4 linked regions of the Drosophila melanogaster genome follow. The protein of the gene in region 2 interacts with the protein of the main gene of each other region in a pairwise test. Each region holds a gene or a part of one and is shown on either strand. Other genes may lie near its edges. The genes, in order: Argk2, bic, C1GalTA and Nha2.

The links.
Region 1: the proteins of bic (region 2) and Argk2 interact in a two-hybrid assay, tested with the Drosophila melanogaster proteins (one large-scale study listed by BioGRID).
Region 3: the proteins of bic (region 2) and C1GalTA interact in a two-hybrid assay, tested with the Drosophila melanogaster proteins (one large-scale study listed by BioGRID).
Region 4: the proteins of bic (region 2) and Nha2 interact in a two-hybrid assay, tested with the Drosophila melanogaster proteins (one large-scale study listed by BioGRID).

What each region holds. Positions count from the first base shown.
Region 1 is NT_037436.4:9,045,408-9,049,252, reverse strand, and holds Argk2 (arginine kinase 2), read right to left. Parts: upstream 1,815-3,845; 5' UTR 1,758-1,814; coding exon 591-1,757; 3' UTR 529-590; downstream 1-528.
Region 2 is NT_033778.4:12,868,334-12,872,294, forward strand, and holds bic (bicaudal), read left to right. Parts: upstream 1-1,915; 5' UTR 1,916-1,997; exon of another isoform or gene 1,998-2,069; coding exon 2,070-2,579; 3' UTR 2,580-3,461; downstream 3,462-3,961.
Region 3 is NT_033779.5:8,948,211-8,953,030, reverse strand, and holds the start of C1GalTA (core 1 galactosyltransferase A), read left to right. Parts: upstream 1-1,814; 5' UTR 1,815-2,053; exon of another isoform or gene 2,054-2,261; intron 2,262-4,820. UniProt on the Drosophila melanogaster protein: Glycosyltransferase that generates the core 1 O-glycan Gal-beta1-3GalNAc-alpha1-Ser/Thr (T antigen), which is a precursor for many extended O-glycans in glycoproteins.
Region 4 is NT_033777.3:22,995,521-23,000,514, reverse strand, and holds the start of Nha2 (Na[+]/H[+] hydrogen antiporter 2), read left to right. Parts: upstream 1-1,986; 5' UTR 1,987-2,334; coding exon 2,335-2,350; intron 2,351-2,729; exon of another isoform or gene 2,730-2,731; coding exon 2,732-3,001; exon of another isoform or gene 3,002-4,061; intron 4,062-4,994. Other genes in the region: CG34375 (uncharacterized protein), read left to right, coding at 1-63.

The sequences.
Region 1 (3,845 bases), on a different chromosome or scaffold from region 2:
CGTCCCCCCGGCTGGAGGTGCATCGCCTCCGGAGTTAACATCTATCCACGGGTGCCACCAGTTCGGGGCATACGCAACAATCAAGAACAACAACAGCAACACTTAGAAATCTTCGGCTCGTCCGCCTTGTCGCTTTTGGGCGGTTCGAACTGCAAATATGTCTAGTTTGTAGCTATGGTGTGGAGCTGCTGTCCCAGTCCGGCAACCTTCGGCATTTTCGTATACTTTGAGGGTCGCGGGCGCAGGCAGGGATCCCATCTTGCAACACCATCAACACCTACAGCAGCAGCAGCAACAACGGATAACTATTTGACAAAAACATTTGCTTAATTACAACCAAACAATGTAAAACATTTTGACATCTGTGTCAAGCAAAAACAAAAAAAGGAACTTTAAATACTTTTATTTAAGTCTTAAGTTTATAAAAGAATTAAAATTATTAAAAAAAAAATAAAAAAAAAACTTAAAACTCAATGAATGTTTTGTATTCAATGGATATAGAGGACATATAGGGTATACAAATATTTAGTTTATTATTTATTTAGAGTTCATCACGGCCTTTAACCTTTTGTACACTTCACGCTTTACAACTAAGCTGACTTTGCCTTACACTCGGCTTCTATGAGACCCTTGATTCCATCGTGCATCTCTTTGATGATTTCGTATTCGGTTAGTCCCATCCTGCGTTGGTTGGATATATCGTGCACTCCGCCCTTGGCCTCTGAGTGCTCGCCCGAGGTTCCTCTGATTTGTAGACGATACTTGTCGGCCAGCTTTTTCATCTCGTCGGGATCACACATTAGATTGGGCAGCTTGATGTGCACCGAGGCGCGAATAGAAGTGCCCAGATTGGTGGGACAGAAGGTTAAAAAGCCAAGTCGTTCATCCCTGTTGAATTGCAGCTGCTTGCCGAGAGCCTCCACGCCGCCAACCATGCGATCGTAGACCTTGCCCAGGTCGCCACCCTTCTCCATCGAGATGATGCGTATGTGGTCCTCCTCGTTGCACCAGACCAGAAAGTTCTTGGCGCTATTCAGAAAGATGCCCCTTCCCGTTGGCCAATATCGAGAGGCTCCAGCGGAAGCCAGAAATCGATCGCCCTCCTTGAACAGATAGTGATCCTCTATGAGCTGCTCCTGTATGCATTTATCCATTCCAGTCAATGGCATGTATTTACCCTTGTACTCTCCGGTGAGGCTAGTCACTGCCCCACAAATCTTACTCTCCAGCTCCATGTAGTCAGCCTCCGTTAAGCAGGGATTGAAGGGGTATCCTTTGACGGCTCTTCCGCAACGGACACGCGTGGATACGATGAAATGGCCATCGGGATCTAGGTTTTCAAAATCCGCGCCTTTGCCGAAAGCAGTCGCCGGCTGTTTGTCCGTCTTCTTGAAGCACTTATGGTATTCCTCGATGACGGGATCAAAGAGATCGGCAAACACCTTATATGCCTCCGGATCGGGGGCGTAGAGCCCAACGCCGGAGTCATGATTGCACATTCCCGAACTGATGCAGTGCAGCAGTGTGGAGTTGAACGAGGGTGTAGTCTTCGTCTTTAGCTTCTCGAAGATCTCCTTGGTGAGATGCTTCTTCAGCAGGGACTTGGATTTCGACTCGGCCAACTTCTTGTAGCCCTTCTCCATTTGCTCCATCACCTCCTTGTCCACATTTCCTTTGCTGGCATGGCGATTGATTACTAGCTGCGCACAGCGGCCTAGTAATTGAAGTTCAAGCCGGAGTTTTAAATGTAACAGCATTTTTAGGTGTTGAATTTGGAATGACACCGGCCAGGCTGACCCTAAGTTAGAAAGTGACATTAAACCAAATGGCTAGAATAAATCTAGTAAAACGCCATTTAGTACGAACAAAAAACAGACGGTTGAAAACTCCACTTTAATAGATATCGGAAAGGAGATTGCTAAGCAAAGACTCAATCTATGTACAAGTAAATTTGAAATAAATAAAGTATAAAGTAAATTTTGATATACTTGAGTTCCTCATGGATTTAAAAATTGTTTTCACAACTATGGTTTTGCGCTAAAGTAAAGAAATCATTTTCATTGATACTTTTTTAAAGAACCGTTATATGATATTCACTTAATGGTTTTTAAAAATACAATAATGCATTTAAGAAACAATTTTGTTTGATAGTGTACTCATATAGCACGGCTCCAAACCATTGTAAAATACATGGCAAATGTAAAATATTATGTGTAAAATAATGCGTAAAATATGTAAAATACAGGGAAATGCTTAAGAAATGTATACAAAACCCATCGAAAATTGGTAGCTCAAATACTGGTTTTAAAACACTCAGTTCTTCTGTTTAAATGTAGACTTTCTAAGATATATATTACTAATGTAATTATATAATATGTTTAATACGGGTGTAGAAGCCATCAAAACCAAAAACTATGTTTTATTTCCTTTTGACTTTTTTTATTTCAATAAAATACTTAGAACATTATAGAAAAAGGTGTGTTAATTATGATTAGTTTTCACAATCCACCTCGACCTGTTCTCGTTCGCACAATTTAATTGAATATTTGCAAGCTGTTGGCTCGTAAAACAGAGAATGCGAACATTTTTATAGCTTAAAGCTTAAATACCAAATCAAATATATTATAATTAGCAATAAAGAACAACAAAAGCGGCAGCGGCAACAACAATATGCTAACATGTGGCGCAAATAAAATTCAGATCCGAACGGCAACACCTCCTCAATAAAGCATCGTTATCCTCATTATCATTATCAACAGCTTCGAACGAAAACCGGATTTGGATTTGGGCATGAGTATTGGACCAACCTACACATAAAAATTCATTAAGTATATTAAAACAAGCGCAAATTAGAAATGCAATACCGGAGCGACTTCGATTTCCATTTTTATCTCATAATCTACGAATTTTGACGCTTTTTGCCACCGTTTTTTCAAAAAGAAGCCAGCAGCGAGTCAGCAAAAAAACACCTAACATTAAAAAAAAAAAACACTTCTGAGGCACAGACGCCGACAACGAATGTGATTTGATGTTGTTTTGGCCCCTTTTGTTTTTGGGTGAAAACGTGCAAATCCCATAATTTAATTGTTTCAGCATTTCAAATGTAAATTTATGCACCAACAAATCCAATCGAAGACGAGGAGAAACACAAAGCGCTAATACAAAACTAAGCCCAAATTAGTCAAAAAGCCGCTTGAAACGCGGCTTCGTGTGGCTGGTGAATTATTTCGCGCTGATTTGGCTTACATTATGCATAATATATGCATCGATTTCTATGAATGGAAGCCAAATCGATTCGTTGCCCCTTTGAACTATCCGCAACGACTGGCTAGATAAATTCTCTGTGGTCCCATCTCCTTCTGGATGCACTTAAAAACTTAATTAAAAATATTAAACACGAAATGTTTGGCGCCACCGTTTAGGAAACGCTCAAAAGTGGACCGCACACATCCACGGAGCGCCGAGTTATCAGCTCAATTATGCAAGCTGAAAGGCAGCCGCCGGGCCACAGACAGATTTGTCGCATTTGACACGATAATGCACACAAGGAGTGACCACACCAAAGTCTCTCCAACCGACTCGGCATCGGTTTCTGTTTCGGTTTCTTGGCCAGCTCCCACTTCGTTTTGGCCTGGCCAATGGCCATAAAAGGTGCGATAAAACGAAAATTTCACAAGACGGCAACAGCAGCAAGTGCACTGCAAGAAAAGTGCTTCGATTTTGAAATGATCAGATGAATGTTGAATTTTTCTTTCTTTAAATTTACTTTAAAAACCATTTCTATTAGCAATACCATAAGCCAAAACTTACTTAGTTGAATTGAAATGTGTGATACTTTTTTTTCT
Region 2 (3,961 bases):
TGGCATGTGGATACAATTGTCAGTCGTTCTTATCTATAAAAATGAATCAATTCCTTATCGAAGCGCTACTGAGGATGAGTCATTTTAAACAATTTAAATTATATTGTTGTTATACTAAAATTGCTAACATTATAGCAATTATTATATTATGGATAAAAACTGGTAAAATCCTGGCCAGAAAGGGACAACAGACTATTCACTTGTTTCAGATAAGATACGGCCATATAAATAAACATACATAAATAGACAATTACTTTGGCCCTTGCTGATAAAGTAAGTTCCGCTTATTGCTGAGCATACTTAATGTTGTTTACGAATCGGTGGAGAGGCAAAAGAAAAAAACCAAACAAGCCAAAAGCTCTCTCCCATTATTCAGATCTGTCTCTCTCTCTCTATAAATATGTATATCGACTAAATATAATTGTTATTATCACTTCTTAACACGAATAGGATTTTATATACTCTTACACACACTCGCTCACTCATAAAACTCATCTTTTGAGCTAAACTCCGGCTGCTTTGTCTTTCTGAATGACTCATCGGGGAGTTTTTATTTGATTAATGGCTTATAGGCTAATACTTCTACATATATTTTATACAGTTACTCACTGGACAGAACGGCACCTTGGCGTCTGCTGGTGCAGCAATATCCGCAGCAACTCATGATGAGGAAGGTGAGCAGAAAGAACATGAAAATGCCCCAGAAATCCATGGCGAAATCGTCTATATCGTCCAACTCAAAGTCGTCCACTGCGGAAGAAGTTAATGTGTTTAAAAGCTCGTTTCATAGTCGATAAGACGTCGTGAAATACTTACGTTTGACAAGGATTTAGCGGTTATTTCCCTTTGTTAATATCTGTATTTAAAGTCGAAAATTCCACTTGTTGCAGGGAATGCACTGCCTATTTATCGGATTTATCCGCTTTTTGGCAGCACCCGTATAATTCACTTAAATATCAGTGAACTACTCTACCGGAAGGTCGTTATTGAAGCCCGATTGGAATTAACTATATCTTATCAGCGTTAATCTGAAAGTAATACAATTTATCATGATGATAATGGGTGCACGTTATGCAGCACTGACTGCGCTGGCTATGTTTAGTGAGCAGTCGATGTAAAGCGGCGATAGCTAGCGCACTCAACACAGCAATCGATAATTCAAACATAACATCTGATTTAATTGTGTTTAAAACTTTATTGCAAGGTATATAATGGCTCATAATTTTATTTATTTGCGTTCCAAATATTTACTAAATTGAGTTTGTTATACTAAGCTTGTATATTTTGTATAGATATTTTTTAAAACATTACAATTTATCATAATGATGACGTTATGCAGCACTGACTGCTGAGTTTAGTGAGTAGTCGATGCAAGCCAACGATAGCTATCGAACTCAACAAAGCAATCGATACTATTGGAATAGAAAATATAAGAATTAATTAATTCAAACATTACATCTGGTTTAATTGTGTTTAAAACTTTATTGCTGGGTTTATGATGGCTCATAATTATGTTTATTAACATTCCAAATGTTTAGTAAATTGGTTTTTTTTCTTACCACGTTTATTTTTAATTTTATATAGCAAATTTTTAAACATATTTACTTATATATGTGGTTGAAAGCGATGAAAATAAAGTAAATCGATTAAATTGAGATTTATGCCCTGAGTAGATTTACTTTCCCACCATATACTACTAAAAATTTGAATATATTCAAAACTAAAAATTCATTCAAAATTCAGAAAACGTATTACTTCAAAAATAATGTATAAATTATATAAACAATAGAATTTTTAAATTTCTTTGGCGCGCTTTGGTTGCCACCTTGTGAGCTATCGATAGTCAACACTCACGTTTAGTACTTCCTACCAGTACTACTCACATATACATACACCTTTTGCCATTTTTATCATGGCGATTTCTTTTTGACATTTGACTACGACTGGGCGCACGTGTTTTCTGGCAAGGCTCTGTGCTAAATTCTAGTAAAATCAAAGTGAGTAGTGGAAAGTGCGGCATTCGATTGGCGTTTTACTGATGCGACCATTGTGTGTACTCAATTGAACAGATGAACGCGGAAAAGCTGAAGAAGTTGCAGGCGCAGGTGCGCATTGGCGGCAAGGGCACCCCTCGCCGCAAGAAGAAGATCGTCCACTCCACGCCCGCCACCGACGACAAGAAGCTGCAGTCGTCGCTCAAGAAGCTGTCGGTAAACACAATTCCCGGCATCGAGGAGGTGAACATCATCAAGAACGATGGCACCGTCATCCACTTCAACAATCCGAAGGCCCAGGCCTCGCTGCCGACGAACACGTTTGCCATCACGGGTCATGGCGAGAACAAGACGATCACCGAGATGGTGCCCGGCATTCTGACGCAACTGGGTCCCCAGGACATCAACCAGCTGAAGAAGCTGGCCACGGAGATTGCCAGCAAGAGCGGCGCCGGCGGAGCAGCCGGCTCTTCAGCCGCCGATGCCGGTGACGATGATGTGCCCGATCTGGTCGAGAACTTCGAGGAGGTGGCCATCGCCGACACAAAGGAGGAGAAGTCCGGTGAGGTGGCGGCCTCCGCTTAGGCTGGTCCAACCCCGCCCACCCGGGCAAATCACACCACCACACACCGAACACAAAAACATACATACAAAACATACGGGGCCAGGGAGCAAGACGAAGTGGCTGGCATACAGGGCAGAACCCACACACCAGACACGCCGGAAACACATCTACCACTTACCCATTCCGGTTCCAAATCGGAAACGGATCCACTCCGGACTGCAACCAGCGCTTCTGCCCTGAATGGGCCATTCTTCGTGCTCCCTCCAGCCACTTTTTTGGGGGTCATGCTACACACTATACTAAAATACAAAAATAAAGGCATCCGAGTGAGCGCTGAACAGAACACATAAGCATAATAACTATACTTAACATACTAAGGGAACCCTTCAATCTTAATCTAATTGTACTAGTTTGGAACAGTCAAATGTATTTTCCAAAGCGATTAAAGAACGTTTCCTTAACCAAAAAAAACCACAGTCTAAACAACACACACATTCTAATTTTTGCCGCCCTCCCAAGAACAACACACACAGATGTATCTATAGATATATGCGCTGTCATAAAACACTATATACTATATATATACGATACGGTTTTCGGAAGAATTGTGACGAGGTGATTAGGGGAACAACGCAGACACTCCAGATGAATTCATTGCCAGGTCGCGAGGACAGAGAAATATATTTTTAGCACTACTAGCTCTTACCGATTTTCCCCAATTTCCGACTTTTCGATGTAACCCCGCCCTCAAGGAATCCTCAATTGAAAACGAAAACAAGCTGAGGCCACAATTTCGATTCGAGAACAATGTGCCCAAATTGTTGAAAGCATAGCTTATAATTTGTAAACTATTGTTTTAGACCATCATTACCATGCATAACATTAAATGAGCTGTAAAAACCATACGACCCATTCATATTTCCAGCATTTTTTTTTTAGTTTAATGCCTATTTTTTTCTTTGCTTGCATAATCGACATGTGTGTGAGTGTGGGCCTGTGTGTGTATGCATAGCAACGCTCTTGTGTGAGGTTTTCGAGGTGATGGGAAAGGGGTAGTGGGAGGTGTGGCGCAAAGCACGCGGCAGTCGAAAACTTGTTGACATTTGGTATGGTACGTCTAAAATCCAGATGGTCAGAAGGCTCCTTCGGCAGGAACTATGACCCGTACGCAACTTCCAAATTATGTGTCCAAATCCAAAGTTGGGAGTCGTAGCATGCGGTACATGCACATATGTATATATATAAATATGTATATGGTTTTTGGTCGGAAATCTTCGAAATGAGTCACGTTTAAATTGGCTTAAAATTGCGATTAGGCCAGTTCAACCGGAATGTTTCTTGAAGTTTCCACTCATTTGTACATAAACAAGCGATTGCGGCTTCTTATCACATTTCGACGACC
Region 3 (4,820 bases), on a different chromosome or scaffold from region 2:
AAAAAAAACATCATTCAAATTTAGCAGATCGTTGGGAACGTCAGCAAATGAAAGCTGATTGCTACGAATCTAATGTTGATCTACACTGTATATACTTGTGGTTGTGTAGATAATGTGTAAGATTACAGTAAAAAAAATAAAGTCAGTCAGCGATTTTTATACCCGTTACTCGTAGCTTAAGAGGGTATTCTCGACTTGTTGAAAAGGGTGTAACGGATCTTGACACGCGGCATTTTTATTTCGAAACATCACGCCGACACTTTTAAAACATTTTTTTTGAGTAACGGGTATCTGGTAGTCACGAAACTCGACTGTAGCGTTTAAAAAACTCCTGAACTCTCATTCGTTGCTCACTAATTAGAAGACAGAATTTGCCCTTATCAGAGTTGTCAGATAATGCTAACAAGAAATACTATCTTATCTGAAGTGATCGATTGCAAAAAGTTATATGAACTCATTAACCAGCCCCACATCAATAAATATTTATTAAAGGCATTCGTCACCAATTGCATTAATTTCGATTTCTGGGTTTAAAAATATTTAACGTATATTCACTAATTTTGGCTGACAACATGGAGTTACCTTAATAAATTTTCAAGTAGTCTATGTTCAGGTTTCGAATATGAAGTATTAGAAGTCTTTAGCATCACAGAAGCCGGTTGTTAATGTACAATAGATAACGAATCAAACAAAAACGTTTCTTAACGAGTTTGCGCGTATACATAACTTGTTTAATTACAGTTGCGATATCGCAAATTTTTAACGTACAATGCAAAAAATTTCTTGCATTCAAATTTGATGTTAGTTATATTTTCTAATAACGGTTTTGGACAACTATTTTTATAGCTTGTGAAATCTTACTAGAAAAAAAAAAAAAAAAAATACAAAAATCTTATATTTTTAAACGGGGTTTTCTCTATAACTTGGTAAAAAAAAGGTGGCACATCTAACGAAAAAAAACACTGTTTTATACTGCTCATAAGCATACCTAACTATCCCTATCATAATTTTAATGATTTTCAAAAATCAAAATTTGAACAAGTTTTCGGTAATTTTATATTCTTTCCTTTCTAGATTGTGATTTTTGGAGATATTTCAGACGTACAATTATCAATTTATATATTATGCACATATATTTGTATTCATTCTTTGAGAAAGTAATATTCGAAAGAGTGGACACAAATCTTAGAACCAACCCCAAAAACAAACCCTTAAGATAGTTTCCAACAGCTGTTTTGCCAAATATATGGTGACTAGTAGCGAGTGATGAGAGAAACAGGCCATTGATAAATCGAAGTCACACCACTTATATATACAAACTACATATCTTACCTATAATATTTTAGTTTAATAGAAGTTTTTTTTATAATTTTCAAATCACTCTCGCTCTTTATAGAAAGCCGGTACCGGTTTACACCCCCTTTCCGACACAAGCATATAAAAAGAACAGCGAGAGAGAGAGAGAGTGAGCTTTGGTTCTCTCACTTAATTCTGTTGATTGCACAGGTAGAAACAAATAACTTGTATACTGCGATATTTAAATTTATTTGTTTTTGTACTAATTTGTACTATATTCTGGTTAAATATGAAATAGTTAAAAATACTTATTGGGAACTGATATTTTAAATAATATATTTAATAATACTTGGTGTAATTAAATTCAAATTTTTTACTTTTATTGCACTAGACAGCAATAATAGCTTATGTTTCAACTTCGATCATAATCATAAATTTTTTTAATTTACAACTTTCAACATTTTCTTGCCAGTGTACTCTGTTCTCTTCGTTCTCGCTCGTGCTCAGTTTTAGAATTCGCGGCAGTTGTTTTTGTTTGTCCGGCGCGTTCGCTTGCTTCACTTATGCGCTTGTTGAAAATCAAGGAAAGGGCGCGGAAAATAAGTTTAATTAAATATTTCGAGTGGCTCGACTAACACAGCAATTAAGCGAATGTGCAAAACGTGAAAGCAGTTGTGAATAAAACGCACTCATCGCGAAATTAAAAGCTTTTTGGGAGCGTCCTGCGATGGAGAAACGCGTGAGGAAAAATCAATTCGTAAGTAAATGGGCGACGCGAAAAACGGTGATTTAAAAATCAAATGAAATGAAACGCGTGCGGAATTTACCTGAACGGAAAACTAATCGGTCAGCAAAAATTGCGTTTTGTGCCAAAACAGAAAGCGCAATAAATATAATATACAATTGCGCATATGGTGTATGTACATAGAGTGCAAGAAGAACGTGACAAGGAAGAGCAAACGAAGGTGAAGAGTGTGAATAAAACCAAAACAATAAGAACGAACAAGTTTAAGCCACTGTTACGGCAAGTAACGCACGAGAATATACATATGTACATATATTGGTTTCCAACTGGAAACTGAAATTGACTAGAAGGAAGTGGAAGGAAGAATTGCCTGACGGCCTTTCCTTCCAGTCCGGCCACTCACACTACCAAAGCCCCTTGCTGCAGGATGTTAAAATAAAGCTAATGAAGAAAAGAATTGAGAACAGTATAAAAAAAATAGCTAAACTCTTGGGTCCCCATTCCTAAAATATTTGTAAACTCTGATCCTATGCCTAAAAATTATAAAATCAATGCAAAAAGTTTAAATTATAAGGTACAGCATTTATTAAATTTAACGTTCTGTTCCAAGTGTGTTTGAGGCATTTAAGGCGACAACTCTAATATGTTATCTGTTTGAGGGTCGTTGGTCTTGAGTATTTTTAATAACCCGCTAAACACAAAGGAATATGTTGATAACTAGGCGAGAAGTGGCTTCCCAATTCGTGATGTCTTATCCTGGTGGTTGTTGTTGTCTCTGTTAATGTAATGACATTCCCCAAACAGCTGCATTTTGGTTTCTCGCTCTCCGGCTCTCTTCAGTTGTCATTTCCGTTATGCCCTGCCATGCACTCAGCCCTCCCCCTCTATTCCCTTTTGCATCCGGGGGGTGAATTAACTGCAGCCGAAACGCATTTACTTTAATTTATTTGTGGTTCCAGTGGGCGTCACTTTCTCTCCCTCTCATTTTTATCTCGACAGAGAGAGAGAGAGCAGCACATGCTATTGTGCGTGCATTTGTATTTGTATTTCTCGTCTCTGCTCTCTGATTAGCCTTCTCTTGTTATTGTTGCGGGGATAATTCATATGCAGATTGCACCTAGTGATTGCCATTCAAATTCAACTGATAGTGGAAGCTGGAACTTGTACTATAAACATACATATGGTTCTTCCTGCTTCAAGTAAAAAAACAGTAGCCATTTCCATCAGTCATCAAAGTAATGAACTCTCCTTGCAACATATGGGACTGAATAAGAATAGTACTTTATGCTACTTTTAGCATGTTTTCGTTTTCCAGAAGAGAACTACCTAGTAAATGAGTTTTAATAATTATGAATGACTCTAAAAGACTGATCCTTAAAGAGCTCCTTACTTAATGTATTATTACATTATTTTTAAAAATATTCAATACCAAGTCAAATAGTTTTTAATGTATTATTTCTTGTATTGGGTGTATTTGTTCTTAAATGTGTGTTATTTCGTAAAGCCAAAAATCTGAATTTGAATAGACTAACCCAATAACCTTAAACCAGCTGTGCCATGCCCCGCGGGCTATACTATAGAATATTGTTCAATGGCCCCAAAAAGGTGCCATTTCACGTGAGATTCAGGTGAATAGCGCTATACCTATTCATTAATCAGCAATCAATTATCTATCAGCAAAGCCTTTTAATCAATATTTAATTAAGAACTCACATTCCGACTTTTCTTCTTATACATTGCTTTTGTCGATGTCGTTTGAACAACAGAGTAATAGATATTGTTCATTGGGACAGAAAATAATAGTTACTTGAGAACTCTTATAGATAAGCTCTCCGTAAAGTATACAAAATTTTAAGGAATGGAATTCTTTAAGGTTGAACTAATGGCATAATCACTTTTCTCATTCGTTCGTTATATGAATCATATTAATATTTCCATTTTCATTTGCTGTATTGTACTATTACACGATGAACAAAGAAACAGAGTTTTAAAAACGAATGCCATGTTTTTTTTTTGTGCCTGATAACAATTCCGCAGTCCAGTTCCACTTTGATAAACAGCTGCCGACATCATTGTGCCAGTCCTTACTGTATTGTTTATCTGAAAGGGAAGTTACTGAAAGTGAATTGAAATAAAACGAGAATCATAGAGCCAAAACATTAAGTACAGGGTACTTTGCTTATACGGGCTCCAAAAATAAAATACAATAACTGAATTAAAATATTTGCGGGATCGCAGAGCGTGGCTGATTTTATTGACCGCAGATGAAAAGCGGCCAAACAAAACAATTGTACAATTGGTTTGGTTTCTGGTTTTAGTTTGTCTTTCTGGCCCATTCTGTTTTTACATTTTTTTTTTTAAATTACGATGAATGGACTGTCACGCTAGTCTGAGTATAGGGCAGCAAAAAAGCAAAAGGCACTCTATTAACTGAATGACATAATAATAAATTTAGTTTAGCTTAATTTCTATTAACAGGTGCTCCATTACGCGCTCTCGATGAATTAGTTAAGAACTAGATTATTATTATTATTATACATATATAGTGAATAAGAATTTAAGCTACATAAGTTGACTTTTGGGAAAACTTAACTACAATATTAAGCTGGTTTTGAAAAACCCATAAATATAGTTATGCTTATCTATTTGAGTTATGATGAGGTAAACGTTTTATGTCAAGGGTTCTACACACACACATTGAGGGAATTTTTTAAGCTTTACAATGCCACAAAATATTTTTTTTTATTATCTGTGCAAGGTACTACATCTTTGACGAGAC
Region 4 (4,994 bases), on a different chromosome or scaffold from region 2:
GGCCAGTTCCTCACCCTCCGCAATCTGGCTGCCAAGTGCGAGGTGACCATCAAAAGCAGGTAGACCCCATCATGCACCCAAGACTGGTCCCAAAACATAGGTATTCTAAGCTAATTAGCAGGTAGTAATCGTGTTTAAGAGCTTTGAGGCAAGTTTAAGAACTGATGGCTGCGAAAGCGGCGATAGAGCAAACCAAAATGCAATGAACATAAAATAAGAATAAAATGTGAAATGTATGCTTTGTAAATTATATTTGCATTTTTTCCATCGACCGCGTATTTATACGAAAAATGCAAAACGCAATTTGGAAATGTGTTTAATTTGCAATATTTTTAATTAATAAAAACATTTAGAAATGTGCTGGCCTGGCAGTTTGAAAGTCCTCGCCATTGAGTGTCCACGTTGAGCTCAACAACCTGCAGATGCTCTATAAGAGTAGCGAGCTAAATTAATGGTTTGTATGGTACTTTAATGAAAAACAAAATAAATCTTTCTGCGCCATATGCGATTCTTTTGGAATATCATGACCCATTTCAAGAGTATCTCCATTAGTCCTTGCATCCTTATGGCGGAATAATAACACCAATGTTTGTGCAAAAGAAATTGAAAAACTGAAAACTGAAAACTCAAAACAGAAAACTGAATACTGAAAACTGGTAACTAGCGCCTGTCTGTTTGCTGCCTCCTGATAATTGACTTGCATGCAAATTAATGTTTTTTGCATGTGGGCGTAAATTGCTGCCCTGTCTGACAAACAGTAAACACGGTCAATGCAGCGGCGAGTCATTTTCATCAACGCGCCGCTGCACTATACATAAATCTCTGCCCCATCGATGTTTACCATATTTAAGGAAAAAATTCCAATTTGATGCAACAAAAATCACGGCACTGTAACAACATGTGTGTGCGTGGCAAATAGAGCGAGAAAGTTGTATTATCCTTTTTGCAGCGCCCCGCACCTCACAATGTCCTGTTTTTTTTGAGCCATCATCATAGTCATCATCATCGTCGTCATAATGGCCATCTTATAGAGTGAGAGTGCAACTGCAACTCCATACAGTGCAAAAAAGTGTGTGTGCATAGTTAAAATAAATTAAATATTTTCGCAAACGACACTTTTTTTGCGCAACAACGTGTGGCACCTGATGAGGAGATGATCTGACTGGAGCACTGGATAATGGTGGTGACGTCACTGCGATTGGTTATCTTTGTCATGGGGCTGGTTTGTCCATCAGGTAAATTAAAAATATTCCAGCGAAGCAATTAAATTACAGCCACGGCGTGGGAGTGGCCACGGCGCCCAATATGATGAGCAACGTCAAAATGCAAATTGTCAGAAAAACAATTTGCAAGACAAGCGAAACTCTTTTTACTTCAAGGAAATATAATTGCTTTCCAAGCTCACAAAAATTAATAATTAATAATAAAAACAATATAAGGTAGTTTTTTTTTTAATACCATGTAAACGCAGCTGGCAAACTAAAGCGCCATCTATGGCACAGAATTGCCGCCCCAATGATAGAGCTCAAATGGGGCAGGTCGCGCACATTTCCCTAAAAAAAAGTGAAAGCGTTTAATCATTCCGACACTCACACATGGGAAATGCGCTATGATTAGAGGTCTATTAATAACGCGGCTATTCGGCGCCTTATCTAGTTCAGATAAATTATGATTACATGACAATTATTTATCAGCTAATTGGCTGCGCCTTAGAAAACTATGGGCATATTGAATCGCAGATAAACGAACCCCTTATAAATATGTAAGTGCTTCCAAACAGACCCCACCCCCACCCCTCATTTCACCCAACCCAGAAACCAACTCATTCCGCACTTTTCGCTCGACAGCAATGAAAACAGAAGGTTCGCCTTCCGCAGAGCTTGTTTGTTTGCCAATTAGTTTTAATCGAAGAGCGCTCGCTGGAGCTGCGCGAATCGGCAATTGCTTGTTTAAATGGCTTTTGCTTTTCTAATTAATGCGTTTGGCAAATATTTGCCAGTGCATGAGCTGTAATAAAAAGAAGCTCCAAGTGCTCAAGTTCCGGGGCTACTACACTATTTCATTCCGCCTTTCCGCCGGTCGTGTCGCGCGTGTTCCGTTCCCTGCATATACTATACTATATACTATATATCCACTCGATTCGCAGCTAACCAATCTCTTCAAACCGCGGCGTTTCTCTTTGGCACTCGTCAATTTTGAGCCAAGAATAGCCATTTGGACTACGTCATCGTACTGATTGCGTCAGCAGTTGTCGCTCTTTGGCATTATTTTCCGCGTTTTTTTCACTCAATCACTCAGTTTTGTTTTGTTCTCTGGATTTCGCCGACATTCGACATGAGCAGCGATTCCGGTAAGCGATTCTGGCAGCTTTCGATACTCACTTTCGGCGTTAATTTACGAGTTTATGGTTAATCAATTAAATGCCACTTTTTGCCCAAGTGCCAATAAATAAATCGTGTGCAAATATGTTCGGGCTTCCACAAGTCAAATTGTTGGGAAATTAACTCTTTTATTTATATACTTGGGACTGGAAAATAAGAATGGTAGAATGGAATTATCAATATTTTTTGTTTGATTAGCAACCCTTCGGCTTTATCTATCATGCGTAATTAAAAATGTTACCAAATAGCTTGAGTCAATTTTTTTTGTGGGAAAAAAGTATGAATATAAAGCGATTTTAATTTTAATATCATACAAATTAATTTATATATATATATATATTTTTTTTTAGATATATTGGATGTAGTGGCAGGCAGTGAGGGTCCACCCTTGCAAGCCTTTCGCAGCAGCAATCCCTTCGAGGACTCGTATCAAATGTCCTCCTGCCAGCAAGATTTCGAACGCGATCGTGATGCGAACTTGACTCCATTGCATATGCTGCGTCGAGCCAGCGAAACGGTGACCGCCAGCATCCTGGAGCCGGAAAAGGAGCACCTCCTTGGCGACAAGCCACAGGTGCCCCCTCGTGCCCATGGAAGCACCGCGCCAAGCGCCATCGAAGGTGAGTGATATGTTTAATTGCACCGCGTCGTCATGGGGAAATTCGAAAAATGCGGAACGAAAGTATTTGTTACGGAAATTCTTGCCTTTATGCAACCAGCTCCCCGGATCAGTGTGCACACAACCCGCAGACAGGACGGCAAAAAGGATGCTGAAGACAGAGACATCCAGTGGAACAGCTCCATGCCAACGCTTTGTTGGCCAGCCAAGCGAAGTGGCTCCGACAGCCAAGTGCACAATGCGTGCTCAGATATGCACATATGCACTTCAGCACATATACGAGTATTCATAGTTTGTTTATGCAAAGTTTTTGTTTCGCCGTCGAGATATCCTGGCAGAATCACAGCTTTTTCTCTCAACTGGCAGGAGCTGATTGAGGCATTTCGATTTTAAGTGAACCGCACAATCACATCTTGCACAAGATGGCGAAGGCGGGCGGGGGACACAGGGGCGTATACGTAATATTTCCGCATATTGACGACAGAGTGTCTGCGATTGACAGTCCAGTGCATCTACCGTCCCGGCTCAAACTCAAAGGCAGGCATTTCCTACACATTCCTTCTGATTTCTGGAAATATGCAAGGCTGTGCCCTGCTGGCCATGTGTGTGGACCACTTTCGTTGGCCGAGCTTTTTGTTTACGCTCCTCTGTTTTGGCAGGTGGCCCTTGCTGGTTTTTCGCCCACAGCCGAGTAGCTAGTATTTTTGAAACTCCCAGAGCAGCAATTGTTTTGCATCTGTTCAAATGCGGGTTTTCGCACCAGTCCATTGTACAACTTTTTGGGAGAATTGGGGAGAACTTCCCTTTGGGCCATCGCAATTGTGGCATTTTCACACGAATAATGAGCCAGTTTAGTTGCGCCCAAATGCCCGCAATCATACAACTAACACGAGTGGCAAAAGCCCGCGGCTCTCGGCAAAGTATGTTCCCATGAATATGCATTAACCGGGGCTCATTTCCTGTGCATTCATTTCGCATTTGCTATTCGCTTTCACATTCGGAGTGCACCACTGATTCTGATTCAGATTCCGATTCCGATTCCGATGCCCGTTTCCATTTCGCGTCTGACTCTGATTTGACTGTGGAAGTCATATTTAAATAAGTTTGCGCACCGCTGCAGGCAGCACTAATGCTCGCATGTGCAGGCACTCGTTTATATTAAATAAATTCCATTTAAATGCAGCGTTTGGGGCAATTCCTCAAGCTCAACCTTGAATGGCACAGCCCTACCATCCACCTGCCCCATCCACATTTCACCTGTCGCTTCTGCTTGTGAGTGAAACGGTGACATTTCTGTTAACTAAAGCCAACATGATATACGCTTGGCACACAAACATGCACTCGTCTATTGATAAATGCAGTGCATTGCGCATTCGCCTCATGCGCCTGTGTGTGTGTGTGTGCAAGTCAGTTCATTACGTATACGCAGTGTGCGACATTTATAAATGCCAGCTAGACTGTGACTCAGCATAATGATTGCCAAATGAATGGTAGAATGTTAACCGTCACGAAAACCCTTTCGACGCCATTTCAATTGGCGCTGGTGCGTTTCGCAGCTGTGTTGGCCCACTTTGGAGGCTTGAATACTTTGGCTAAATCTGAAGGATTTGCAGGCACTTGCACTTGCGCCACAGCTAATTACTAAAACTGCACTTAGTCGCCCCTCCCGCACTTAACCTTTGACCACCTGTCAGACTTTGGCTGCTTATTTGCCGAGCTGCAACGGGGGTTTTTTTTTTCAATTTGTCTCTGGCTCTTTTATTTACCAGCATGGCGCTGAATGGCGCTTTGTGACCTCATTTCTCTACCATTTTTATATAGTTTACCAGCCCGGAGCCAAGAAAGTGCCAGTTTCCACTGATTTGCGATGTATGAGCACTAAATTCGATGCGAATCGCTGGGGCGTGAGTTCATCTCTTGGCAGGAAGTGCGTGACAACGGAATGCAATCTTCTTCCACGCAAAGAAATTATTTTCCGAATGCGCGCTGCATGT